7 linked regions of the Mus musculus genome follow. The protein of the gene in region 5 interacts with the protein of the main gene of each other region in a biochemical or structural test. Links are inferred from orthologs where the notes say so. Each region holds a gene or a part of one and is shown on either strand. Other genes may lie near its edges. The genes, in order: Arhgef26, Tanc1, Arhgef16, Kcna4, Dlg1, Iqsec2 and Evi5.

What was found.
Region 1: the proteins of Dlg1 (region 5) and Arhgef26 interact in a test that uses a peptide from one of them, tested with the Homo sapiens proteins (2 studies listed by BioGRID and IntAct, with this or other methods). The link is inferred for Mus musculus from reciprocal best matches to the Homo sapiens genes DLG1 and ARHGEF26.
Region 2: the proteins of Dlg1 (region 5) and Tanc1 interact in a test that uses a peptide from one of them, tested with the Homo sapiens proteins (2 studies listed by IntAct, with this or other methods). The link is inferred for Mus musculus from reciprocal best matches to the Homo sapiens genes DLG1 and TANC1.
Region 3: the proteins of Dlg1 (region 5) and Arhgef16 interact in a test that uses a peptide from one of them, tested with the Homo sapiens proteins (2 studies listed by IntAct, with this or other methods). The link is inferred for Mus musculus from reciprocal best matches to the Homo sapiens genes DLG1 and ARHGEF16.
Region 4: the proteins of Dlg1 (region 5) and Kcna4 interact in a biophysical measurement, tested with the Homo sapiens proteins (2 studies listed by IntAct, with this or other methods). The link is inferred for Mus musculus from reciprocal best matches to the Homo sapiens genes DLG1 and KCNA4.
Region 6: the proteins of Dlg1 (region 5) and Iqsec2 interact in a test that uses a peptide from one of them, tested with the Homo sapiens proteins (2 studies listed by IntAct, with this or other methods). The link is inferred for Mus musculus from reciprocal best matches to the Homo sapiens genes DLG1 and IQSEC2.
Region 7: the proteins of Dlg1 (region 5) and Evi5 interact in a test that uses a peptide from one of them, tested with the Homo sapiens proteins (2 studies listed by IntAct, with this or other methods). The link is inferred for Mus musculus from reciprocal best matches to the Homo sapiens genes DLG1 and EVI5.

What each region holds. Positions count from the first base shown.
Region 1 is NC_000069.6:62,425,777-62,429,276, forward strand, and holds part of Arhgef26 (rho guanine nucleotide exchange factor 26), read left to right. Parts: intron 1-812; coding exon 813-887; intron 888-3,104; coding exon 3,105-3,194; intron 3,195-3,500. UniProt on the Homo sapiens protein: Activates RhoG GTPase by promoting the exchange of GDP by GTP. Required for the formation of membrane ruffles during macropinocytosis. Required for the formation of cup-like structures during trans-endothelial migration of leukocytes.
Region 2 is NC_000068.7:59,610,609-59,614,841, forward strand, and holds the start of Tanc1 (protein TANC1), read left to right. Parts: upstream 1-1,433; 5' UTR 1,434-1,588; intron 1,589-2,099; exon of another isoform or gene 2,100-2,758; intron 2,759-4,233. UniProt on the Homo sapiens protein: May be a scaffold component in the postsynaptic density.
Region 3 is NC_000070.6:154,289,896-154,293,395, reverse strand, and holds part of Arhgef16 (rho guanine nucleotide exchange factor 16), read left to right. Parts: intron 1-453; exon of another isoform or gene 454-564; intron 565-1,842; coding exon of another isoform or gene 1,843-1,860; coding exon 1,861-2,460; intron 2,461-3,500. UniProt on the Homo sapiens protein: Guanyl-nucleotide exchange factor of the RHOG GTPase stimulating the exchange of RHOG-associated GDP for GTP. May play a role in chemotactic cell migration by mediating the activation of RAC1 by EPHA2.
Region 4 is NC_000068.7:107,293,589-107,296,296, forward strand, and holds part of Kcna4 (potassium voltage-gated channel subfamily A member 4), read left to right. Parts: intron 1-555; 5' UTR 556-1,334; coding exon 1,335-2,708. UniProt on the Homo sapiens protein: Voltage-gated potassium channel that mediates transmembrane potassium transport in excitable membranes. Forms tetrameric potassium-selective channels through which potassium ions pass in accordance with their electrochemical gradient.
Region 5 is NC_000082.6:31,662,303-31,666,242, forward strand, and holds the start of Dlg1 (disks large homolog 1), read left to right. Parts: upstream 1-1,140; 5' UTR 1,141-1,186; intron 1,187-1,632; exon of another isoform or gene 1,633-2,019; intron 2,020-2,518; 5' UTR 2,519-2,549; coding exon 2,550-2,568; intron 2,569-3,272; coding exon 3,273-3,404; intron 3,405-3,940. UniProt on the Homo sapiens protein: Essential multidomain scaffolding protein required for normal development. Recruits channels, receptors and signaling molecules to discrete plasma membrane domains in polarized cells.
Region 6 is NC_000086.7:152,220,768-152,224,267, forward strand, and holds part of Iqsec2 (IQ motif and SEC7 domain-containing protein 2), read left to right. Parts: intron 1-879; coding exon 880-1,053; intron 1,054-1,515; coding exon 1,516-1,565; intron 1,566-2,154; coding exon 2,155-3,120; 3' UTR 3,121-3,500. UniProt on the Homo sapiens protein: Is a guanine nucleotide exchange factor for the ARF GTP-binding proteins.
Region 7 is NC_000071.6:107,820,549-107,824,048, forward strand, and holds part of Evi5 (ecotropic viral integration site 5 protein), read right to left. Parts: intron 1,347-3,500; coding exon 1,157-1,346; intron 109-1,156; coding exon 1-108. UniProt on the Homo sapiens protein: Functions as a regulator of cell cycle progression by stabilizing the FBXO5 protein and promoting cyclin-A accumulation during interphase. May play a role in cytokinesis.

The sequences.
Region 1 (3,500 bases), on a different chromosome or scaffold from region 5:
CAGTCAAAACTTTTGTATTTTTAAAGATTTAGGATCATATTTTCATATTTTAGACATTCATATTTCAGCTTACCTTTAATGGATCTTCAGAGTAACTTCTCCTTTGTTGGGAGCTGACAGTATGTTTGGCATTTAGATAAGATGCACAGATCTCTTACCATTTAACTCTTGGAACAGGGCTGGGAGGTGGCTCTGAAGAGCACCTGTTCAGCAGGGGCGAGGCCAGGTTGGATCCCTGCACAGGAAACAGAATAAGATAAGCATCAGCCTCTTGCAATAGCCTGTTTTATACCTGCCATTGCCGAAGTTTGCAGAGGAGGAAAGTGATGTTTATCTACAACCAACCACATGCCCATGGGTAAATCCCTAGCATAAGGCAGGTCTGAGATTTGTCAGCCTACCTACTGACCTCTGAGTCTTCCTCGGTATTTAGGCTCTATTTATTTAAAGAATACTTCCTAGTTTTTTTTAATTTTTGTCTTGTTTTGTTTTGTTCTTGTTGTTTTGGTTTTATTTTTTTGAGACAGGGTTTCTCTGTATAGCCCTTGCTGTCCTGGAACTCACTTTGTAGACCAGGCTGGCCTCGAACTCAGAAATCTGCCTGCCTCTGCCTCCCGAGTGCTGGGATTAAAGGCATGCACCACCACGCCCGGCTTACTTTGAGGTTTTGTTAGTTACACTTTAATATCCTCATCCCTCATATTGTGTTCAGAAACAGTCCTTTGCATGAGTAAGAGGAAATAGCTAAATAGTAGTTTATTTTGCTACCTATGTTAAGTCAATTGGCTTTGTTTCTTTTTACTTCATCCTAGACTATCTGTCAAAAAACACCCAAGGACTCTCCAAAGTATGAAGTCTGCAAAAGGGCCTTGAAGGAAGTGAGCAAGGTAACTGTTCACCATGATATCAATAAACCATGTAGAAATTTTGGAAGAGTCTTGCAGGTCTGTGCTTGCTATATAAGACTGAGATTCACGAAGCCAAATTCAAGTAAGTTTGGATGTTGACTGTTTCAGATAGGATTTGTTTTATGTACCCGTTCATATCTCCTTTTGTCTGCTGTGTTAATAGATATTTGTTGGTTCTCTCCTCCCAACAAATATTTATTGAGTATCAACTACTGTAGCAGGACTAATGCTGCCCTCTGAATGTTGCTGATAAGCAGATGTGGCTATTGCATTTACGGCATGTGCAGAATGAAGAGAAAGACATACAGTAAATAGAATTACTGTAAAGGGTGATGACTGATGGGGTGGGGTAGGGCACAGAGTGATATTTTTACTGAGATCTACAGCAAGAATAGTTGTCAGCCAGGCATGGAAAGAGTGTTTGGGTTGTGTAGAGACCCAAATAAAAGTGTTGGAGGATTTGAAGAATTCATTGGGAGGCGGGAAGGGGGAGGGTGAGAGGGAAGGAGGGAGGAGTCTGTTACATATGTTAGGGAGTTGGAAGCCATGGTCTCAGATGATGATAAAATGATGGAGATATAAATTCAAATAAGATGAGAAGAAGCTGTGTGTGTGCATGTGTAGATAAATATGTATAGTAGGTTTGGAAATGGTGAAGACAGGAGTCAAAGAAATATAATCCCTGATTGGACAACTGAATCATTTGTTTTTTAACTTCATACTGTGGAAAGATGAATTACATTTGGATATATAATAATGCAGATCTTATAAAACATGAATTTTGCATGAGAATTTAGAGGAGAGCCAAACGTTGGAGACCTGGATCTGGGAATCGTCAGCAGAGGGGATATTTGAGTTTGGAGTATAAAGGGATCTACCTGGTATGAGGATGCAGAATGGGGAGCATAGAAGCCCGTAGTAAAATCCCAGAGAACACTAGTACTTTTTTAGTCTCATTTAGAGGAATGTAATCAGTATAAGAGATGTAAAAACGAATAAGGCATGTTAGAGGAAGGGAAAACAGGATAGCCTAGAAAATGGCTAAGCAATTAGCTCATGGATGCTCTTGAGAAAGGAAGAGAGGCGAATGATTTAGCCGTCTGTAGAGTTCATCCTAAAGTAGATGAAACAGAAACCACATTGAAAGATGCTGAGCAGTGAGCAGGGTGTGCCAACCATAGAGCCAGCTGCTCGGTGGCTGGCTCCTCCAGGGACCAGGCCTACAAAGAGAAAGAGATGTGGCTGAAAGGGAAGGGATATTTATTTAAAGATAGAAGTCTGTATGTTTAGTTACTGTTAGGTGGTGTGGCTGAGAGAGCAGAGGAAAGTATGGTCATCCCTGCAGGTGACATATGAGCAAGGCACAGGGGAGTGGAGACGGAACATGCCAGAAACTTCCTGGATATCTCCTGTTGTTTGCTTGCTTCCTGCATGAATGGAAGAAGATATTCCTTCCACTTTACTGTAAAGTACTATTTCTTTGTATCAGCTTTAAACAGACTCATTATTTTACTCTTCTTTAAAAGCCAGGTTGCAAAGTTTAGGATTAGTCCAGTGGCCCAAATATTTACTAAGTATCAAAGGCTCATTGACCATTTATTTGCAGATCATTCAGTATTTTTAATTGAGCAGAGCTTCTCTTAGTTGGGTATTGTTGAAGAATTATCAGACTTTCCCTTTCCAGAATCTTTTTGTGGTCCCATGATTGACATGTAACACTGCTTAGATTTTGCCTATAAAGTTGGTAGTCTGCCTCCTGCTGCTCTGGTCTGGAAGAGTGTAGGAGCTGTAGCCTGCCCTGAGGTAGAGTTGGGTTCTCATAGGTAAGGACGAAGCTAGACAGAAGACAGGATCAGAGTAGTTAGAGACCTAACATGTGTGATGAAACCTCGTGTGGAGGGTGCGGAGCCACAGAGGAAACACATCTCTGAAAATCTTCTGAGTCCTTTACCCCATCCCCAACCACACTTTTCTCTCTTGGTCACATGCTTCCTATCTGGGCACAGTGTCCCTCCTGGGTGGAACTGTGAGTTCTCTAACTATCAGAAACGGGTCCCTGGAATTTCTGGAAAGTAGATCATTTTCTGGGAAAGTTGAAAGTGTGGTTTCTTGTGGGAGAAGGGGCCAAAATAAAATAAAATAAAATATTGAGGCTGCCCTTCAGATTTCTTACCTCTCCTTATGCTGTGTTCCCAGTTGGTCCGACTGTGCAATGAAGGAGCACGGAAGATGGAGCGGACAGAGATGATGTACACGATTAATTCCCAGCTGGAATTTAAAATCAAGGTAGCCTTCTATCTGTGTTTACTGTATTGCTGCTGCTTGAATCTTATCTAAACAGAGGAAGTTGAGGCTAACAAGGTAAATTGGAACTAGCTTTTCAAAGAAGGACTATAAATTGAGAAGAAAAGCTGACAGAGGGCTCCCCAGATGCCTAAGGGTGTCTCCAGGCTTCTCTCCAGGCCATGAAGGTATGACCTTCGCCAGGAAACCATCAAGGAATTGGAGTACTTGCAGGTGATATTTGATAAAGTACTCGAAGGTGACAATCCTCAAGCACTGTTAGTAGGTCCTGACAAATAATGGGATGCC
Region 2 (4,233 bases), on a different chromosome or scaffold from region 5:
CCTGGTTTTTAACAACCAGCATTGGAGGTGGAGGGGGTGTCTGTGACCTTCCTGGCTTACCAGGAGTCCTTACTTGCTTTGAATATTCATGTCATGATTTGCTTGAGTAAAGGCTGGGATATGTTCGCTGCATACTTATAAATATAGTGATAATCAGGTCTTTGACTATACGAGTGAAAAATACCCAACACATTCGAACCATCTTTTATTTATTATGGAGAGATAGATTGAGCAGCCTTTTGCTTCCTGTCACTTTTCACAGGAACTTTAAATGCAAACACCATTCTTGCAGCTATCTTTATATTGGGAAGCTCTATGTGAGGTTGAAGTTTTTATAGGGAAAGTTGTTTAAAACACAGTTGTCTTTAAAGGCAGGTTTGCCACAGCAAAGGTTAGGGGTTGGCAATAAACCCATTTATAGCAACTTCTGTATTCTTCACTCTCCTTACACGGATGGGCGGCCTGTGTGCAATTCCTGTTGGAATTTCTAGTTGATCCTTCTGCAAAGAAAGGGGGCCCAAAGGGCTTTTGGGAATAGAGAGGGCTGAGCCTTCTACATATAAATTGGCTGCCTGGATTCCTGGGAGGTTGTGGAGGACCCAGGTCTCCCAGTTCCCTAGGCCATTTTCAAACTTCTGTTCTATTGGGAATAACAAAACATTTTGGGAACTAGGGAGTTTAATTTACTGCCACCAGCCTACTTAATAATAGCATCTTTGTCTGTTCTTCCTCCAGGACTCCTCCTCCTGACAAGGAAGCTAGCCGCTGGCCAGTGTACTTAGCCCAGACAGTACTGCTAGCCACAGAGTTCGAGGAGGGAGGACTGCCCCTGACTCTGGGCAGTCACTGATCCCCGGAACAACCCCAACTTAACTTTCCAGAAAGAAAAAGGTGCAATGGGCGAGATGCACTTTCCATCTTTCTCAGCTCATTTTGGAACAAGAAAGTGTATTTGTTTGTGTTTAGTTAAGCGAGGGGAAGAAAAGCCAACAAAGCCACCCTAAGGCATCCGCGGAAACTTCAGCTTGGCTAATTGCTCCCATATGTCCTCCTCGGATGCTTTCAGAGAGCAGCGCAGACCGAAGGCCGAGCCACTTTACTGATTCTAAAACGGCTAAAAAAAGGAGGAGAGGGCTAATCACACTTCTGATCCTGTCCCACTGGGGTCCAGGCGAGGCCCCAGGGGAGCAACCTTCTCCCGGAAAGCTTAGCTTCCCGCAGAGGACATGCTGGGTGAGGAGGGGGCGAAGGCGCCGGGAGGAAAGTTGGCGTGCGGCGCCCCAGCGGGTCCCAGAGCCGGGGCAGCTCCGGTCGGGAGGGGCGCGGGAGGCACAGCCCCGGCGGGCGCGCACAGGGAAGGTGCCTTCCGGAACACGCGCAAGGGCGGGGACTCGCGCTGCCAATGAGGTCCCGGTGTGGGCCGAGCGAGGCGCGGGGACGGGCCGGAGCGCTGCCTCCGCGGTGGCAGCTGCGGGAGCCCGGCTCGGGAGCCGCAGGAGCCGCAGCCGCCAAGCGCCCAGCCCTCTGCGCCCTGAGGCTCGGCCCCCGGGGTGGGAACCGCGCCGAAAGCTGGAAACTTTCCTGGCAGGTAACTCTCGCTGCCGGGGCGCCGCTGCCGGCCCCCGGGAGTCCGCAGCGGGCGGGGAAGGAAGGGTCCCGGAGAGCAGCCTGGGAAACGAGAGCCAGGCTGGTGGGAAAGTTTCGGGACGCCCCCTCCTCCGCCGGGCCCAGCGGGAGCTTTCCCGGAATAGGCGCAGGCACGCCGGAGCTCCCGGCCTGGGGCTAGGCGCTGCCGGGGAGTCGGTGCAGGCCGTTTCCTGCGCTCCCGGAGGAACGGGTTGCAGCAGAGCCGGGCTAGGGGGACATTGGGATCACGCGGCGCTCAGGACTTTCCCAGCCGGCCCTTGCCCGCCTCTTCGGTCCCTTGGCTAGACAGGGCCTGGGCTGCGCCGGGCACCTGGGTGGGGGGAGTAGGGGGACGTGCAGGCGGGGCGCCTGGCACCGCGGGGTCTTGAGTGTCGCCGCGCGCGGGTCGCCAAGTTCCCGGGAGAACTTCAGCGGGGGTGGGGGTGGGGTGGGGAATCGTATCGCCCACCGTGAGCTGAAAGTGTGTGATTCGCTCCTGCAGGCTGCGGCTCGCAGATGCAAGCCAATTTCTTTCCCTGGTGGTGTTGGTGATAGGGTGATGATTTGGGATTAGACCTTGAGGATTTTTTTTTTTTCTCTTCCTTTTAGTAGTGCCAGCTAAATGAAGGGTCGTGTCAAGTTTGCGAGTCCCCTTGTCCTTGGGCGACGAGTAGTTACTTTGGAGGCATTATGGGGATTCAGGTTCTTCCTGGAGGACTTTTGGGTGTGTGTGTGTGTGTGGGGGGGGGCCCTTGGGTTCGGCGCGGCCGCTTTCCGGAACGGCTGGCGGGGAAGGAAGCCCTGGGCATTGTGTAGCGTGTTTTCAGTCAGCAAGATCTCTGGACTGGAGTTCCCAAAACTTACTTGACTTATTGTGTAAAGGCTCCCGGAGGAAATGCGGCCATGGCCAGGTAGAAGAAACGCGGTGCCGCGGCCGAGGGAGGAGGACGCCGAGCTGTGACAGTCTTCTTCAGGCTGCCTCGGCTCCGGCTTGGCAGCCCCAGATTCTTGTGCCTGGAGTAGTGGGACCGGTCTGAGTAATACAGCTTCCTGCAGAGTGAACTCAGGGTGGTGAGGAGAGCACCTTCATCTTGAACTTGACCCCCGGAGTAGCGTCCTGGCGGGTTAAAAGGTAAAGGCAGGCTGAGTCTTAACCTGTAAAGGAGTTCAGACGCCGCTAGCTCCTGGTTCAAGATCTTTCAGGAAAGGACTCAGGGTGGCTGAGGTCGCGAACTCTAGAAATGCCAGACTCATCAGACTACGAAGTTAGTGTGCCTGGGGAGAGCAGGAGAAACCTGGTTGGCTGGCACAGAGGGTTAGTTTTTCTTTGTGGTGAAAAAGAAGGGAGTCTTGCGTCTCTGCTTACACCAGATCCGCTACTCCCCTCCACCCACACCCCCTTCCTGGGTCATCCTTATCCTGCCAGGCTGGCACTCCAGGGATGGGGGAGGGAGGAAGAGAAGAAGCCGTTGTGGAGCTTCTCTGGGCAGCCCGGAGGTATTTCAGATCTGCTACTGGGAAGAGTTCTGGATTTTAACAGCTGCTTTTTGATTGCTGGGAATGAAAGAATTTATGAGCGCCTGAGAGAGGTGCTCATTATGGTACTGTTCTGCGTGCTTTGCTCATCTGGGCTACTTAAAGAGCTCACAGGGACTTCCTTACAATCTGCAAAGTCTGTGTCAGCTGGAATGCTTGTGGGTGTCAATCAAAAAGCATCATAAATAGATCTTGGTGCTTTTACAATGAAAAGCATGCCAAGCCAAGGAAGTTTGGCGTGTGACTGCGTTAGAGATTCCTTCGTAGACCTTTTTTTCTTACCATCCAACTTGATGTTTCCAGGCTTCTTGACTGCTGTGATTGGACAGTGAGGGAAATAGTGTGATTGGACAGTGAGGGAAATCATTGATTTTGGTGGGGGTGGGAAAGTCCAGAAATAAATTTAAGGTCACTTCCATGTTTCTGTCTTGCAATTCTCATGCCACGAACTTAACTTTTGCTGGAACGCCAAAGTATTGATTTTCTTGCTTTTTTGGTTTAACCACCAGAATGTCTAAATTATCATAATTCATGTTCATCGTGGAGCTAAAACATAACTGATTCGTAGTCAGCCCTTTTCTGCTTCTCATAACAGCCAGAAGAACATTTTGTCTCTTTAACCACATGCAATTTATTTGATGCCATAGTCGGGTTTTGATGCCTGGTGATCGAGGGCACAGTTTTAGAGACAATGGAATTACTTTGACTAAATCATCCATTTTTAGACAACTTCTTTTCTGGGTTGCTGATTAATTCTTTATCTCCCAGAGAACATTAAAAGCCCTGTCCCTGGGCTAGTAGAGCTGTAATCCATATTATAATGAGGTTTGTCTGAATAGCTGGGAGGGAGGTAGGTCTGTTTTCACCAGGCACTTCAAACTCAATAGTAAAGATCTTATTTCTGTTACGTCAAGAATTTGCTAGTTAGAAAAATGGATTTATGCTCTTGTCCAATGTATATGAGGCCTTGTTGAGGGAAGAACAAACTTTTATTTTTATTATGGGACCTTTAGTTTTAACTTGTGGGAATAAATGTATAAATAAATTTATAGACACACACACACACACACA
Region 3 (3,500 bases), on a different chromosome or scaffold from region 5:
GTCTCACTGTGTATGTGACCCAGGCTGGCCTCGAACTCAAGAGCCTCCTGCCCCAGCCTGTTCGGTGCTGAGGTTTTATGGGGTGTCTCTAGGGTCCTCTTAGGCTCAAGTCATTTCAACCTATACAGAGTTCTGAGCATATAAAAGGCTTCCTCTATGCTGGCTCCTTTGTTATTAGAAAAAAATAAAGGGAATTTTTTTTCAAGAGGCAGTTTCCCCCTGGAAACTTTACATTAGGGTCCTATAGAGTTCCTTGACTCTTGCTGGCCTGTCTTAAGTGCAGCGTCAGATGCCAGAGATGCCAGGAATTCTGTTTGGTTCAGAAAAGCCTTGGCTGCTGCTTTACAGCCCTTCCAGCCAGTCAGGGATGTTTGACTGGACTCTGCAGGTCATTTAGGAACCTGTTAGATATCCTCAGGTGAGGGCCTTGTTCTTACTGAGCCCATTTTGCAGATTTGAAGACTGAAACTGAGTGGTGGCATCTTTTAATCATTAAGGACCCCAGGTTTCCAGGCCCCCAACAGGGCAACTCCTGACAAGTGTGGAGGACCCCCAGTCACGGAGGTAAGTGGACAGCTGACCCTAAGCAGATTGGTCAGTCTTGCTGACTGGTCCCCACACAATGTTTCTTCCACACCAGCCTTTACGCTGGCTCTTGCTGTATCTAGACCATAGCTCTGTTCATTTCAGTCTCTCAGGCCTGCAGGATTCCCTGCCCGGGAGGGTCACCCCTTCCTCTTAGTTAGCCAAAGCTCAGCCTTAGACTGTGTGGTACCAAGGGAACAGAAAATGCTAATGCTGTAGGAGGAGATAGAACATTCTGGAAACCACCACTCAAGGCTGCCTGCTGTTGACAGGCTATGACTCAATGATTAAAGATGCCACCACTCAAATTCAGTCTTCAAATCTGCAAAATGGGCTCAGTAAGAACAATGCCCTCACCTGAGGATATCCTAACAGGTTCCTAATGGGCCACGGTGGCAGACAGGGGTGGGGGAGACAATGCTAAGGGTAAAGGAGTCAGAGACGGGCCTCAGGCACATGCGCTGCTCTGCTGGGATGCACGGGTGGAGTGGCTGAGGAATCGCATGTTGGCGGTGGCTTTCGGTCGCCAGGCTATGACTCAGGCTGATTGAAGATCCTGCCACTGCCTCCCTCACCTGCACTGTGACCCAGGGTTCACCTTGGGACTCCCAAGATGGGGATTATGAACCCCCAACTTCTGAAAGTACAAATGTGTGTTGGAGAGTGCTGTGAGGAGAGTCTTCTTAGCCAGCCTTGGAAACTCTGCCTGGCCAGGAGAGGGGAGGCAGCCGGCTCCACTCAGATCCTGGCTCTGCTGCTTCTGTGGTGGACGCCACTGAGCAGGAGGGCCATGGTCAGGTGGAAAGTGTCCTCTCTTTCTGCCTCCATCCTGCTTGCTCTTCCTCATGATCTCAGGGTCAGATGGCCCCTTAACAAGAAGGCAGAGCCAGGCAGGGCCATGGTCTCATCCACAGCATTTGCTGCAGTCTCAAGAAACCATCATTAACTCCAGGAAAACCATACACAAAATACCCATACATCAATAAGGGGCCTAGCCAGGATTCTGGTCCTGGTCTCTGTTGCTTCTGGGCCCAGCCACGGATCTTCCCTTAGTTGCTAAGTCCTGCCCAGGACTTAGCAGTTGTGTCAGAGAAATCAGGGTGGTCCCCCAGGCTCATTCCAGCCACTCTCTGCTCCCACCAAGTCTTTGATCTCAGAGAAGAGCAGTTATACAAGGATCAGGGTTGGGCCCAGGGAGGCTGTATGCAGATATCCCCCTTCTCCCCAGCCTTTCACCTCTTGCTTGCCTCTCTCTAGGCCTCCTCTGTCACCAGCATGTCCCAGAGACATTCTGACAGCTCTCTGGATGAGAAACTACTGGAGTATCGCTTCCACGCAGAGCTGCGCCTCGATGCCAACGGGAACCCTATCCCTGGACTCCCCATGGTCCGGAGCTCCTTGAAAGCCAGAGCCAATGCTGCCTTTGAGCCAGATGCCTCAGAACCCCTGCCGCCACCTCCGTCACCAGAAGACGAAGAGCCTCCTCGGCCCATCGTCCTTAGCACGCAAAGCCCCGCGGCCCTCAAGATGGGCACGCAGCAGCTCATCCCCAAAAGTCTGGCTGTGGCCAGCAAGGCCAAGACCAAGTCCCCAGCCCGCCACCAGAGCTTTGGGGCGGCTGTGCTCAGCAAGGAGGCTGCCAGGCGGAATCCTCAGCTCTTCTCAGCCCCCAGCTTCTCGTTGGATGACATGGATATGGACATGGTTACTACCGGGAACCTGAGGCGCAACCTGAGGAACCAGTCCTACAGGGCAGCCATGAAGGGGCCGGGGCCACCCAGTAGCAAGGGGGACTCAGTCCAGCTTGGCCCCAAGCTCCAGGCTCTCGCTGAGGAGGCTGCTCAGCCTCCCTCCCGGTATCCAGCCAAAAATAAGGTAGGGACCTGCCCCGACAGCAGGGTGGGCAGTGTGTCTAGGAGCTCTGGGGTTCACAGGCAGGGAGCCAGCTTGGTCCTGCGTCTTTCACATTTGGCATCATGAATGGCCGCTATTACTGAGCCTTGCCGGGTGCAGGCTCCTGACCATCTTGGTTTAACCGAATCCATTTGAATCTCATTGCTGTGGCTGGAGGAGGTTGACTCAGGCTCTTGGGAGTCCTCCATCCCTGCTTCCATCCAGAGTGGACAGCAGAAGGAACCAACCCAAGCATGGAGCCAGCCTGTCTGATGACACTTTCAGCAGGGCCAGGCTCAGGCTGCCAGTGGGATAAGGAGGGTCAGTGGGTAGCCCTCACCACCTGTCCCCCAGCCCTGCCCCGGGTGAGCAGAGCTCATTCCTGAGCTATGGTGTAGACCCAGCTGTTCAGAACAGAATGGGGTCCTGGCTCTCTGGGTCTCCAGGTATCTGCTACAGATAGCCACTGGGCAGGAAGACCATGATCAGATAGTAGTAGCCTTTCCTTCCCCCATCCGTTCTGCTTATCAGGTCAGATGGGAGAACCTCTGTTTAACAGCCATTCAAGGCAGTTGATTCCCAGGATAGGGAGCTAGGAGGTCTCTGGGCCTAAGGTGCTTCCCTCAGACTCAGGGGCATCCCAGTCACAGGGTTCAGTCAGCTTCCATGAAGGGCCTAAGATGGGCCTTTGTGGCTTTTTTTTTTTTTTTTTTTTTTTTTTTTTTTATGAGACAGGGTTTCTCTGTATAGCCCTGGCTGTCCTGGAACTCACTCTGTAGACCAGGCTGGCCTCGATCTCAGAAATCCACCTGCCTCTGCCTCCCGAGTGCTGGGATTAAAGGCATGCGCCACCACGCCCGGCCCTTTGTGGCTTTTTGACCCCTAACAAATTACCTAATACTTCTGAGCCTCAGTTTCCCCATATATATAAGTGAAGGCTGCCATCCAGCTGTAGCGTACTCCAAAGATGAGTACATGCCCTCTGTCGCCTAGGGCTGCACTCAGCATCATGGGAAGAGCAT
Region 4 (2,708 bases), on a different chromosome or scaffold from region 5:
TTGTCTACATTTTATGATTAGGAAATTGATGATCATTCAAGTAGTGGAGTCTAAACTGAAGAAAAATGTTTTATTTCCCCACTTCTTTAATCCCAAGAAAAAGAAAAATGTAAGGGTACTTAATTCAGCAACATTCCATGAGTGAAAATTTTAAGGAGAATTCCTTGAGATAAATGAATACTGGAAACAGCTGTAAAGTCAGAGCATCACTGTTGTGGAATGAAGAGGATACTATTGAGAATTAAACCTGGCATTGGTGAAGGGGCAGAGGAAAGCAAGAACCGTGTGGGTTGAGAATGGACAGGACCTAAACAAATGAGTTGCCACCAAACAGACTGATCTGAACCAATGACAAAAGAAGAGAGCAAGGTGGATGCTGAGTGGGAGAGATTTTAGAGCAGCCTGCCCCGTATTCTTGAAAAGTTATGGTCTCCTGGTGTGTGTTTCATGATTTGCCTGAGGACAAGAGCAGTGTATGTGGAGTAAAGGGCTGTTTGCTCTCTATGGTTTGATTCTTTTTTTTTTCCCCTGTGCTTATTTCCCATCCCTCTTCAGGTGAAGTGCTTCTTGTGAATGATTCTAGCCAAAGGATGCTCTTCATTTCCTGCTTTCTATGGAGACCTCAGTGTTGAGTTTGCCTCTGCTGGAACTGCGTCTACCACCTTCTCTACCTTCCAAGGTCTTTGCCTCTATCTACAACCTGGCATTGTCTGTGGGTCCATGAAGGCTTGGATGACCTTAGAGGGAAGGTCTGGGAGTCCACCCTCATAGACTAAGCAGCAATGGCTGGGCATATTTTAAGCCGCATTTTAACATGGGTCAAGCCATCAGTAGAAGGCAAGTGCTAAGACTAAAGACTTATTTGAATTTTATTTAAATTAGATGGACTGGGCCTTGGCCAATTTCCATGCAAGAAAAAGTATATTTCATTTTCTAGGCACAACTTCTGAGTGTCAGATACTTGCTGTCTTTGAGTCTTGTGGCGTCATCACCGGACAGCATCCCAGACAGACTTCCAGATTTGAACATCTACCCCCCAACACGTAGGTGTATGGGAGACCACATCATTTCATGACTTATGTTTGAGGAACACTAGGCTGTTGTCTAGACGAGGCAAGCTCTGGAAAGCAACGCCGAGTCTCTGAGAAGAGGGAGCATAGGCTGTGCTGATTTAAAAACAGAAAATGCAAAGTTGGACTGAAAATATCCCACGTCTTCTAAGCAATCTGCTTAAGGCTTCCAAACTTACCTTAATTTGGTAAGAAAATAAGCTGCCCTATTTTTCTTTCTTCTTCTCTTACAACTGGAAGCAGCCATTTCCCCAAACCACCACCATGGAAGTGGCGATGGTGAGTGCCGAGAGCTCAGGGTGCAACAGCCATATGCCTTATGGTTATGCAGCCCAGGCCAGGGCCCGAGAGCGGGAGAGACTCGCTCACTCCAGGGCAGCTGCAGCTGCTGCTGTCGCAGCTGCCACGGCTGCTGTCGAAGGCACTGGGGGTTCTGGTGGAGGCCCCCACCACCATCATCAGACACGTGGGGCCTACTCCTCCCATGATCCTCAAGGTAGCCGTGGAAGTAGAAGGAGGAGGCGTCAGCGAACTGAGAAGAAGAAACTCCACCACAGGCAGAGCAGTTTTCCTCATTGCTCAGACCTGATGCCCAGTGGCTCTGAAGAGAAGATCCTGAGGGAGCTAAGCGAGGAAGAGGAAGACGAGGAGGAGGAAGAGGAGGAGGAGGAGGAGGGAAGGTTTTACTATAGTGAAGAAGACCATGGGGATGGGTGTTCGTACACAGACCTGCTGCCACAGGATGATGGGGGTGGTGGCGGCTACAGTTCAGTCCGCTATAGTGACTGCTGTGAACGTGTGGTGATAAATGTGTCTGGTCTACGCTTCGAAACCCAAATGAAAACTTTGGCCCAGTTTCCAGAAACTCTGTTGGGAGACCCTGAGAAGAGGACTCAGTACTTCGACCCTTTGCGCAATGAGTATTTTTTTGATCGGAACCGACCCAGCTTTGATGCCATTTTGTATTATTACCAGTCAGGAGGCCGCCTGAAGAGACCAGTCAATGTCCCCTTTGATATCTTCACCGAGGAGGTGAAGTTCTATCAGTTGGGAGAGGAAGCCCTGCTCAAGTTCCGGGAGGATGAGGGCTTTGTGAGAGAAGAGGAGGACAGGGCTCTGCCAGAAAATGAATTTAAAAAACAGATTTGGCTTCTCTTTGAATATCCAGAGAGTTCTAGCCCTGCCAGGGGTATAGCCATTGTGTCTGTCCTGGTCATCTTAATCTCTATTGTCATATTTTGCCTGGAAACCTTGCCGGAGTTCAGGGATGATAGGGACCTTATTATGGCCCTCAGTGCAGGCGGGCACAGCAGATTGCTGAATGACACCTCGGCACCCCACCTGGAGAACTCAGGGCACACAATATTCAATGACCCTTTCTTCATCGTGGAGACAGTGTGTATTGTGTGGTTTTCCTTTGAGTTTGTGGTTCGATGCTTTGCTTGTCCCAGCCAAGCACTCTTCTTCAAAAACATCATGAACATCATTGATATCGTCTCCATTTTGCCTTACTTCATCACTCTGGGCACTGACCTGGCCCAACAGCAGGGGGGTGGCAATGGCCAGCAGCAGCAGGCCATGTCCTTTGCCATCCTTAGGATCATTCGTCTGGTCCGAGTATTCCGGATCTTCAAGCTC
Region 5 (3,940 bases):
ATTGTCAAGGACACAGAAAAGGCCTGTCAGGTTTATTGAAAAACCAAAAAACCCCTCATCTTTCTCCCCCTTTAATTAAAACACAAGTACCGGTAGATTGATTTTAAATGTGTCTGTGCATGGAGGTTAAAGGACAAACAGGAGGCTCTCTCCTTCCACCATGTGGGACCCAGGGATGGAATTCAGGTTATCAGGCTCATAGGCAAGAACCTTAACCAAGCGAATCATCTTCAAGCTGGATCCAAGCAGATCCAGCCTTACGGTTTGACACACATGGATCTCTGCATTTCTGGTTCTGCTTCAAGAACTTCTGACGACTTTGGAAAAATTCTCCTGGGCTATGGAGCAGAGAAGTTCCTGCTGCTCAAAAGCAGCTCGAGTCAGTGACTTGGAGAACTTTCCCCTTCAGGCTCAGTTCTAGAGCAAGTGTCCCTTGGGACTGTTTGTTGGGCTGTGAGGTGCTTGAAATTTAAACTAGGTGTGAGGGCTGGCAGCGAGAGGCTTGCTTTCTTTGTTTTCCACCTGAGACAGGGTTTCTTCTCTGTGTAGTCCTAGCTGTTCTGGAACTCACTGTTCTGGATGGCCTCGAACTCACAAAGATTAGCCTTACTTAGCCTTTCTGGGATTAAAGTCCTGTGCCACCACCGCTGGGGTAGACAGGTGAGTTTCTTAAAGGGACCGCCATAAGATGGGTAACTCCTGGGAGCATCTCTGGGCGGGGACACATTCATGAACGCACAAATGAATGCAGGCATGAATGAATGAAATATTAACGACTGAACTTTTCACTTGTTTAAACGGCTCGTACTAGGAGTTAACCACTTAGACCTAAAAATCCTCTGAAACCCTCAAACGTTTAGCAAACTAATCCGTCTCCGCTTTACATCCGGTCCTTAATGAAACTCCTCAAACCTTTTTTTTTTTTTTTTTTTTTGTTTTTCTGGACAAACGAATAATTTAAAAACCAGCAAAAAGTGGAAGACATACAATACCCCTTCCCCTCCTAAGTCCCTTCTTCCTCCGCCCCTTAACGCGGGTGACTGGTGCGCAGCTCCGCACAAATTCCTTTTTCCCTGTTGGGGATCCACCCCGGGCGTGCCAGGCACTCTTCCTTTCTTGAAGTTGGCCAGCACGTGTTCAGTGAGGTGAGGGGTGTCTTGAGCTTGTTTCTTGGGATCTAGCGCAGGTGAGGTCACTTCTCTCTTTCAAAGTCTCCAGCAACTCGAGTCCGGCGCGCTAGTTCAGAACCGCAGGCCACCGGAGGTGGGCTAGGGCAACGTGCAGGCTTGCTGTCCCAAAGCCACTTCGGGCCACCTGTAGAGCGCGTGTCAACTCCTTTGTCCCCAGAGCCGCTTCCACCGGAGCTCCTCTCCGCAAGGCGCTTCCCTGTGGATGCTTAAGGGTCCTCCTTCCAGTACTCCAGCCCCCTCCCCGCCCTCCTCCCGGCCCTCCTCCCTTCTCCAACCCCGGTAGCAGCGCCCGGAGCCCGGGGCTCGGAGCGAGCCGCCTCCTCACTTCTCATTGGCTGAGAGCGTCGGGGAAAGCAGTCACGTGGGCGCGCGGCAGGCCAGCTCCAGGGCCGCCATCTTGGCGGAAAGTTTAGGGGGAGAGCGACTGGGGGCGCGGAAGGAGGCGAGGTTCCGGGGGTGGGGCGGCCCGGAGGCGAGCGGACGAGCAGGGGCCGCGGGCCGCGGCGAGCGGGCGAGCGGCGGCGGCCGAGGCGGAGAGAGCGGCGCGGGGGTGCGGCCGCCGAAGGGGGAGCTCCTCCCCCGTCCCCTCACCCCCTCAGCTGAGCTCGGGGCGGGGCGGGGTACGTGGAGCGGGGCCGGGCGGGGAAGCTGCTCCGAGTCCGGCCGGAGCGCACCCGGGGCGCCCGCGTACGCCGCTCGCGGGAACTTTGCGGCGGAGCCGCAGGTGTGGAGGCCGCGGAGGGGGGTGCATGAGCGGCGCGGAGAGCGGCGGCTGTCCGGTCCGGCCCCTGCTGGAGTCGCCGCCGGGAGGAGACGAACGAGGAACCAGGCAAGCGAGAGGAGGGGGCCCGAGCGGGCCGGGGGAGCAGCCGGGCGCTCGGCTGGGCGCTGCGCGGCTGGGCACGGGCCGGCCCGCGGCAGCAGGTGGGGAGCGTGGCAAGCACGCCTTGGCGGCGGCGGCGGCCGCGGCGGCCGGGCTTCTCCTCTTCAGGTGCTCTTTGCGGAGGGGGGAGCTCTGGAGGCACCTACCGAAGCGGGCTTGGGTCTGATCTTAATCTGTAGGGGGCATAGCGACCCCCGAGAACTCGCTTTCCGCTTTGGCTGACACTGCTGGGGGTTTGAGGCTTCTGCTTTTTTTCCACTTGGGAAAACTTTGGAAGGTGGGCAGTTCCACCAAGGTTGGAGTTTTTCCCTAGTCGAGAGTTTGGGGCGGGGGATGGGGTCGGGTAGGGTGGGGTGAAGTGGGGTGGGGCGGGGGCAACGAATGGATCCACGATTCAGTTCATTGCATTAGTTCAAGTTTTCCTTCCTGTTTTGTGTTTGTAAAGGTGTGTGCCGCCTTCCTGATTCTGGAGAAAAATGCCGGTCCGGAAGCAAGGTGAGAATTTATTTTGGAACTGTTTTGTGGCTGTCACTTGCTGTAACATACATCAGTGTTGTGGTTACTGTTTTTAAAAGGTTTGTGTGACTTTGAGGAATCAGCAGGCTCTCGCTTTTATTCCTTATGGTATCAGAGCTTCCCATCATTTCAGAAGGTGGAAACATCTAGTTGGTTGCACACACCTTCTTGACATCTGTAGTCATTACAGAAGCAATCAACAGAAGCAATCTGCCCCCTACCATGTCTTTTTCAAAACTTCATTGCTTCAGTATTTCACTTTATCACTCATATCAACACTATTTTGTGAGCAACTCTGTGAGCAACTAGGAATTAATGTTTTGAAACACGTTTTGGTTATAGGAACAAATTGTAGATAACTTGTTCTTGTCTGTTAGGCATTCTAAAAACCAAGTTGCTATCAGTTTAGTTAGACGGTCTTTTAGTCTTGGAAGCTGTCAGTCCACAGCTAACACAGGCTACTCACTTTCTCCTTTCTCTGCTGTGATATAAAGCCTTTAAAATATTTGTCTTAGTAGGGAATGGAATATGGATATAGTGATGGCAGCCCTTGCCTTGGAGGCTCAGGGGAACTTATAGATGTCTTGTAGAGGTAGCGTGTAGCACTCTCATGTAAATATGTATGCAGATACACACAGAGCCTTAATATATACATGAAATTTTCACCGTATTTGTCTTTTCAGATACCCAGAGAGCATTGCATCTGTTGGAAGAATATCGATCGAAACTAAGCCAAACTGAAGACAGACAACTCAGAAGTTCCATAGAGCGGGTTATTAACATATTTCAGAGCAACCTCTTTCAGGCTTTAATAGGTGGGAGTTAAAACTTTTCTACTCTTGACCACTGTACTAGTGCCTGATGCTTCTCTGTTATGTTAAACTTAGAATTTGAAAGACAATGTGTTTGGCTCTCTAGATGGTCCTTAACTTAGGACATCTCTAGTGATTTTTTATTTTGCAGTTAGGCCACTGTCACTTCTAAAAATGTTTAATTATCAGAAAAACTTCTGGTCTGGTGATTTCTGTGCACTTTGAGAGCACAGTTTCATGTCTTAGAGTTAACAGCTGGAATATGGACAAGTTGTAGAAATGTTTTAGGACACCAGTCGTGACAACTGAACTACTGTTGGTGTTTTTGTAGTTGGCGTGTGTTTCTCTGGAATCCTTGGAAATATTTGAAAGGCTCTGCTGCTGTGCTTGAGAGCATTTGCCTCTCTGACACACACACACACACACACACACACACACACACACCCTCTGTTAGAGTTGCCATTTGTGGAATATGAATTTTAGACCTGAAACATGATCTCAGAGATGATGCTGTCTAATTACCTTATTCTAGTATTCCT
Region 6 (3,500 bases), on a different chromosome or scaffold from region 5:
TTCTCTTTCTCTTGTCTTTTCTTCTCTAAGCTAAGCAGTCCTAGTTAAGTAACATGGCATCAAGGAGAAAGAAGGCAGAGAGAAAGAGAAGCAGTAGTTAGTTCCTTGATAGGTCTTCAGCAAAACAGAGTATCAGTTCAGTGGATTCCAGAGCTTCCAGGGGAAGTGTAAGAGGTTAGCCATATCAAGAGAACAAGAGGCCCAATAGATCAGTTTCCCTGACCTTACTGGGGATATAGGGGAGCCAGGAGAGTAGGATAGACCTGCTTCCAGAATGTTGACTTCACAAATTTCAACTCTCTGACCCTGAGCAAACTGTGACTTCTCAGATTCTCAGTTTCCTCTGCACAATGTAGATGATGGTCAGAATGTGGAATGAGAGGGATCAAGTATACACTGTCCCTAGCATACTGCCCAGCATATACTAGAGGGTTTGCTTCCAATCAATTTCATGCCCTTGCTCTTTCAAGAACTCCTCTGAGAACTGAGCGAACTTTAAAAGGACTGTCCTTCGCCATAGGCTAGAAGGGCCTTCCCATCCTTACTGTGAGCCAAGTGTTGCAAAACAACACAAAAGGGTAAAAAAATGAAGGATAAGATGGAAAGGGAGCAGGGAAAGTAGGCACTTACACTTACAGGGAGGGGGAAAAAAGAAGGAGCAGGAAGGAGCAGGTGGCATAGGATGGGGTAGGCACCTAAGGAGTTTTGAAGATAGAGTAGCAGTTTAGGGGAAACAATTACTACTAGGGTGTGGGAGTGGACAGGAAGGAGGGGAACCAGAAGGAGGGAGGAAAAAAAAGAGGAAGGCTGTAGTCAACCAGGTGGGTTCTTTCTTAATGCTCTTCTTGACCTTTGCCCGTTTTCTTCACTGCTATCCAGCGGAGCTGGAAAAGCAGAAAGGTATGATGCGGCCTAATGCCTCACAGCCTGGAGGAGCCAAGGACTCAGTGAATGGGACTCTGGCCCGCAGTAGTCTGGAGGACACTTATGGGGCAGGCGATGGGCTCAAGCGGGGTGCACTCAGTAGTTCCCTGCGAGACCTCTCTGATGCAGGTAAGTGTTCTGGGCCCCTGTTTTGGCTGGGGAGATGTGGGACCAGGTGTCCTCTTTGCCTCCTGTCACTGGCTGTCAGCCTTCCCCCAAAACACACACACAAACACACACACACTCACCATTCAGAGCCCTGGGCACTATGCCACAGGGGGCCTGGTAGCCAGGTCAGAACAGGTGGGGCCCAGGGTTTCTGCCAGGGAGTATAAAGTGGGGCCATAGACTCAGCCCCTCTCCTCTTCCCTCTTCTGTCTCTCCTTTACTGCCTCTCCTCCATCTTTTCCTCCTTTCTTTCCTCCTTCTCAACCTCTCTTCCTCCCTACCTCCCCCTCTTCAATGGGGGAAGGGGGCAATGGGGTGTCTGTCCCTGGGAGGGACCTAGGCCTGGTGCCCAGCTCTGGAGCCCAGCAGGGTGGGGAGGGAGGGTTGCTGCTCTGACGCTGGGCTCCTTGCTTGTGGGTGCAGGGAAGCGGGGGCGGCGTAACAGCGTGGGATCGCTGGACAGCACCATCGAAGTAAGTGTCAGCTCCTGCCCCACTCATTTCTGCATGAGCCCTGCCCTGGCCATAGAGCCCCAGAGGAGGAGGGGGACCTGTTGCCTACCCCTCTTCCGTGCTGGGAACCATATGGCTGCCTCTCCCAAACAACCACTTTCTCCATCTGTCCTCAACTCTTGTCTGTCCTCACTCTGCCTGTCTCTCAGTCTGTCTTCCACTCTCCCATGCCCCTTCTCAACCCCAGGGCCAACTCCAAATAGGGAGGCCCTTGGATTTGGGCCTCAAGAAACGTTAACCTCCATATCCTGCTCTTTTGACCCTGAGCCAGTTACTTTGCCTCTCTAGGCCTCACATTTTCTTGGCCTGAGAAATGATCATGCTAAGGAAGTCCTACTGCTTTTTCCTCTGCCCTCTGAGGTTCAACTGAGCTAGTGGATGTGGCAACAGAGCTTGGGAGCAGAGCTGGCCACAGATACAGGACTGCTGTTTGGTTTCCACTGTCACTTTGGGATCCCTGTTGCTCCAGCTTCAGGGACAGGGGTGGAATTTAGGGTTGGGGGTTTAGGATATTTAGACTGGCCTGACTTCCCCCCCTCCCCCCTTTCAGGGGTCTGTTATTAGCAGTCCACGCCCTCACCAGAGGATGCCACCTCCGCCCCCACCCCCGCCGCCAGAGGAGTACAAGAGCCAGAGGCCAGTCTCCAACTCCTCATCTTTCCTGGGCTCCCTATTTGGAAGCAAGAGGGGCAAAGGGCCCTTCCAGATGCCACCACCACCAACAGGCCAGGCCTCTGCCTCGTCTTCATCTGCTTCCTCCACCCACCACCACCATCACCACCACCACCATGGTCACAGCCATGGTGGCCTGGGGGTGCTACCTGATGGGCAGTCCAAGCTCCAGGCCCTGCATGCCCAGTATTGCCAAGGACCGGGCCCTGCCCCACCACCCTACCTCCCACCCCAGCAACCCCCTCTGCCTCCACCCCCTCAGCAGCCTCCACCCCTGCCCCAGCTGGGCTCCATTCCACCACCACCTGCCTCAGCCCCACCTGTGGGGCCACATCGACACTTCCATGCCCATGGCCCAGTTCCAGGACCCCAGCATTATACCTTGGGCCGGCCAGGCAGAGCCCCAAGACGAGGGGCTGGAGGACACCCTCAGTTTGCTCCACACGGCCGCCACCCCTTGCACCAGCCCACATCCCCATTACCCCTGTACAGTCCTGCTCCACAGCACCCTCCTGCCCATAAACAGGGCCCCAAGCACTTCATCTTCAGTCACCACCCACAGATGATGCCAGCAGCAGGTGCAGCTGGGGGCCCTGGGTCCCGGCCACCAGGGGGATCCTATTCCCACCCTCACCACCCCCAATCACCACTGTCACCACACTCACCCATCCCACCTCATCCCTCCTACCCTCCCCTGCCCCCACCCTCACCTCACACCCCACATTCACCCCTACCACCCACCTCCCCCCATGGCCCACTGCACGCCTCTGGGCCCCCTGGCACGGCTAATCCACCCAGTGCAAACCCCAAGGCCAAGCCAAGCCGGATCAGCACTGTGGTCTGAGGAACGGGATGAGTGTACTGGGGAGCAGGATAGTCTGGAGAAATCCACAGGAGAGGGACCTTGCCCCTCTCTTCTTCCTCGGTTTTTTCAAAATATATATACACACTCAGCAGTGTCTTTCTTTCCACTTCCTCTGTATCTCCAGACCCTTCTTCCAACCCCCAGCAGTTGTCATGGGGTTTCCTTTCAGATTGGAGGGCCCTTGCCACTTGCAGCCTGAACGTAGGGCACTGCAGTGCTGGGAAGTGGTAAGAGCCTCTCAGTAGGCCTCGTCCTCCTGTTCCTGTCTTCCTCTCCTCTTTCTTGTCCCTGGAGGTCTAGTTGGTGACCTCAGACCTCTAGGCAAATGTGAGCTTCCTTGCAAGCTGGTGGAGAAGGCA
Region 7 (3,500 bases), on a different chromosome or scaffold from region 5:
TTTCAGGAGTTCTGAATACTGGTCCTTAATTGTCATACTCTGTGCATTACATAAAAGTTGCCACACTATTGCTCTGAAGTGATGGGGTATCCCTTTACGAACAAGCTCCTAAAAACAAAAAGAAAACAAAACTTTTAAATGTCTCATACCTTGTGATCCAAGAGTTTTAGGGGGGGAATATTGAAATGGAAAACTTTATGAATTTTATAATTTAAAAAAAATTTTAGTAACAATGAAAATTTTTAAAAAGGGTTACAACTTGACCTTGGGTAAGTTCTGATCAGGGACTACAAAGCCATGATAAATTGTTGTCTCTCTGAAAACATAGCCTTTCAAGGCGTGACGGCCCTGACAGTCCAGAGCTACACACATCACACTACTGCACCATCACATTTAAAGGGCTGCTGAATACACTAGCAAGATTATGCTGAAAGGACCCTGATATAGCTGTCTCTTGTCAGAGTATGCCTGGGCCTAGCAAACATAGAAGTGGATGCTCACAGTCGGCTATTGGATGGATCACATGGCCCCCAATGAAGGAGCTAGAGAAAGTACCAAAGAAGCTAAAGGGATCTGCAACCCTATAGGTGGAACAACATTATGAACTAACCAGTACCCCGGAGCTCTTGACTCTAGCTGCATATGCATCAAAAGATGGCCTAGTCGGCCATCACTGGAAAGAGAGGCCCATTGGACACGCAAACTTTATATGCCCCAGTACAGGGGAACGCCAGGGCCATAAAAGGGGAGTGGGTGGGTAGGGGAGAGGGGGTGGGCGGCTATGGGGGACTTTTGGTATAGCATTGCAAATGTAAATGAGCGAAATACCTAATAAAAAATGGAAAAAAAAAAAAAGAAAAGAAAAAAAATAAAAAATAAAGGGCTGCTGAAGGAAAAAGGCAAAATGCTAACACAGTATGTCTCCATTTCATTTCTGAATTTACAAAATGGGAGAATTTAACTTCTAAAAATATTTTTTTTCAACTGTGAATCTCTACAACCTAGACTTCTTTCTATCAAGCATGGACAATGAAGACATATAAAGGCAACCTGTTCCTTACACAGCACACAGGTTACTAGGAGAATCCTTCCATTTCTCCTAATGCCTCTTACCCTCTGGGATAAGAGAAAGAACTTCCGTAAACAATGTAAATACCTTCACTTGCTTTTCTTTCTTCTTGCGTACATCATCCCATTCATTCACAATTCTTCCCCAGAGAATCCAAGAGTCTTCCTCCAGGTGGCTGAGGTTGCTGGAGGCTGATGAACTTGATACAAGAGAGGAACCACTGTTTCTTCTTGACCCATTCACTGATCTTAAAGACTTACTGTCTGTCTCTATTAATCTAAACAGAATTAAAGGTGTTTAAGATACCATCTCACATGATACTAGATAAAGTAAGGACAGCATTTAAAAACTTCACGACAATTATTAGCTTTTGTTGTTGCTGAGACAGGGATTCTAGTTGTAGCCCTGGCTGTCCTGGAACTCACTCTGTAGACCAGGCTGGCCTCAAACTCACAAAGATCCACATGCCTCTGCCTCCAGAATAGCTTAAAAGTAAGCACCATCATGCCAGCTCTAAGTTACAGTTTTAACAATTTTTGTTTGGTTGAAATCAGCAACTCTTGCACTTTTTCACTATGCATAGCAGTTAAAAAACTGAACCATTCCAGAACAGCCAGGAAACCCTGTCTTGAAAAAACCAAACAAACAAACAAAAAAACAAAACCTGAGCCAGTAAGATGTATTTTAAGCATTTAATACAATTAGCCCCATTATAATTCATATTCATTGCCACAAAGAGGTCAATGAGAAGGCTCAAAAGGTAAAGTGCTTGCTGCCAAATCTGACAACCTCAGCTCAGTCCCCAGTGCCCACATAACAGAAGAAGAGAACTGACTCCCCTGGGATCTTTCTCCCTGACCTCCACATGTGTGCCACAACACCACACACAAGAGAGCTACAACAAGGAAGGGAGCCCAGCACAGTGGTGCACACCAATAGTCTTAGAATCTCAGCACAGACTCACCTATTAGGAAATTCACTTATTCACTTAATCCCAAGAGTTTTAAAACCAACCTGAACAATTTCAAAAACAATTCAAGGATCAATAAAATGACTCAACAGGTAAAGGCCCTTGCTGATAACCAGAGTGCAATCCCTGGGGTTCACACGGTAGGAGGAGAGAAGCAACTCCCACAAGTTGTCCTCTGACCTCCACACCTGCCCCCAAAAAAATAAATAAATAAGTAGGTGTAATTTTTAGATGTTTTACATTCAAGTTAGGGAGGTCAGGGTGGGAGTGGCTCCATGGGGGAAACAATATTAATATATACTTAACATACACAGTAATCCATAAATCCCATATTTACTATGTACTAGATCTAAAAAGTAATGATTAACCAAATCCCTTCTCTTTTTTCCTTTTCCACACACATGTATAGCCTATATATCTAAACAACGTGTGTGTGTGTGTGTGTGTGCGTGTGTGTATAACTATACATTATACATAAAGATCTGGCAAAACCAGGCTCAAATTCCTAGTCAGTAGCAATAAGTATAGAAATCTACGTGGGCTGGTGAGATGGCTCAGTGGTTAAGAGCGCCGACTGCTCTACCGAAGGTCTGAGTTCAAATCCCAGCAACCACATGGTGGCTCACAACCACCCATAATGAGGTCTGCCGCCCTCTTCTGGTGTGTCTGAAGACAGCTACAGTGTACTTACATAAAAAAAATCTCCTACGCAGCTGAAAGGAGGTTTACAGCCCCATAGGAGGAACAACAATATGAACTAACCAATACACCCAGAGCTCCTAGGGAATAAACCACCAACCAAAGAGTAAACATGGAGGGACTCATGGCTCCAGCCACATCAATAAGAAGAGAGGCCCTTGGTCCTGTGAAAGATCGATAACCCAGTGTAGGGGAATGCCAGGACAGGGAAGCAGGAGTGGGTGGGTTAGGGAGTAGGGAGTGGGGACTGGGGGTGGAATAGGGGGGTTTTCAGAGGGGAAATGAGGAAAGGGGATAACATTTGAAATGTTAACGAAGTAGGCAATAATCACATAAAGACGGTCCAATGTCTTCAGACAACACAGAAGCACAATTTAAACCACACTAACTCTAAAGTCTCCACTCACCCAAGCTAGCCAGCATGGAGCTAACATGGCTTTCAGAAACTGGTGTCAGATTATGAAATGAACCTGTAGTCCACCTCCATTCCCTGGGGATGCCAAACACTACAGCAGACCCAGCTTTCCCCCTTTCTGGGGGCCACTAAATCCTGCCTCCTAGTCAATACCCATTCCTTTGGGTCAACCAACAATACTACCTTGAGTGCGTCCAGTGGACACTGCAAACCTGGACAAGTATGCAATTTTCACTCTACTTCCTATCCTCCAGCATTAAGCTTGCAGGTCCCTCTTCTCCCCAGGCCCAGCCCCAAAGGCCGCCCCCACCCCCCAGCCCACGCCCTAGGGACTGTTGCTGAACTTC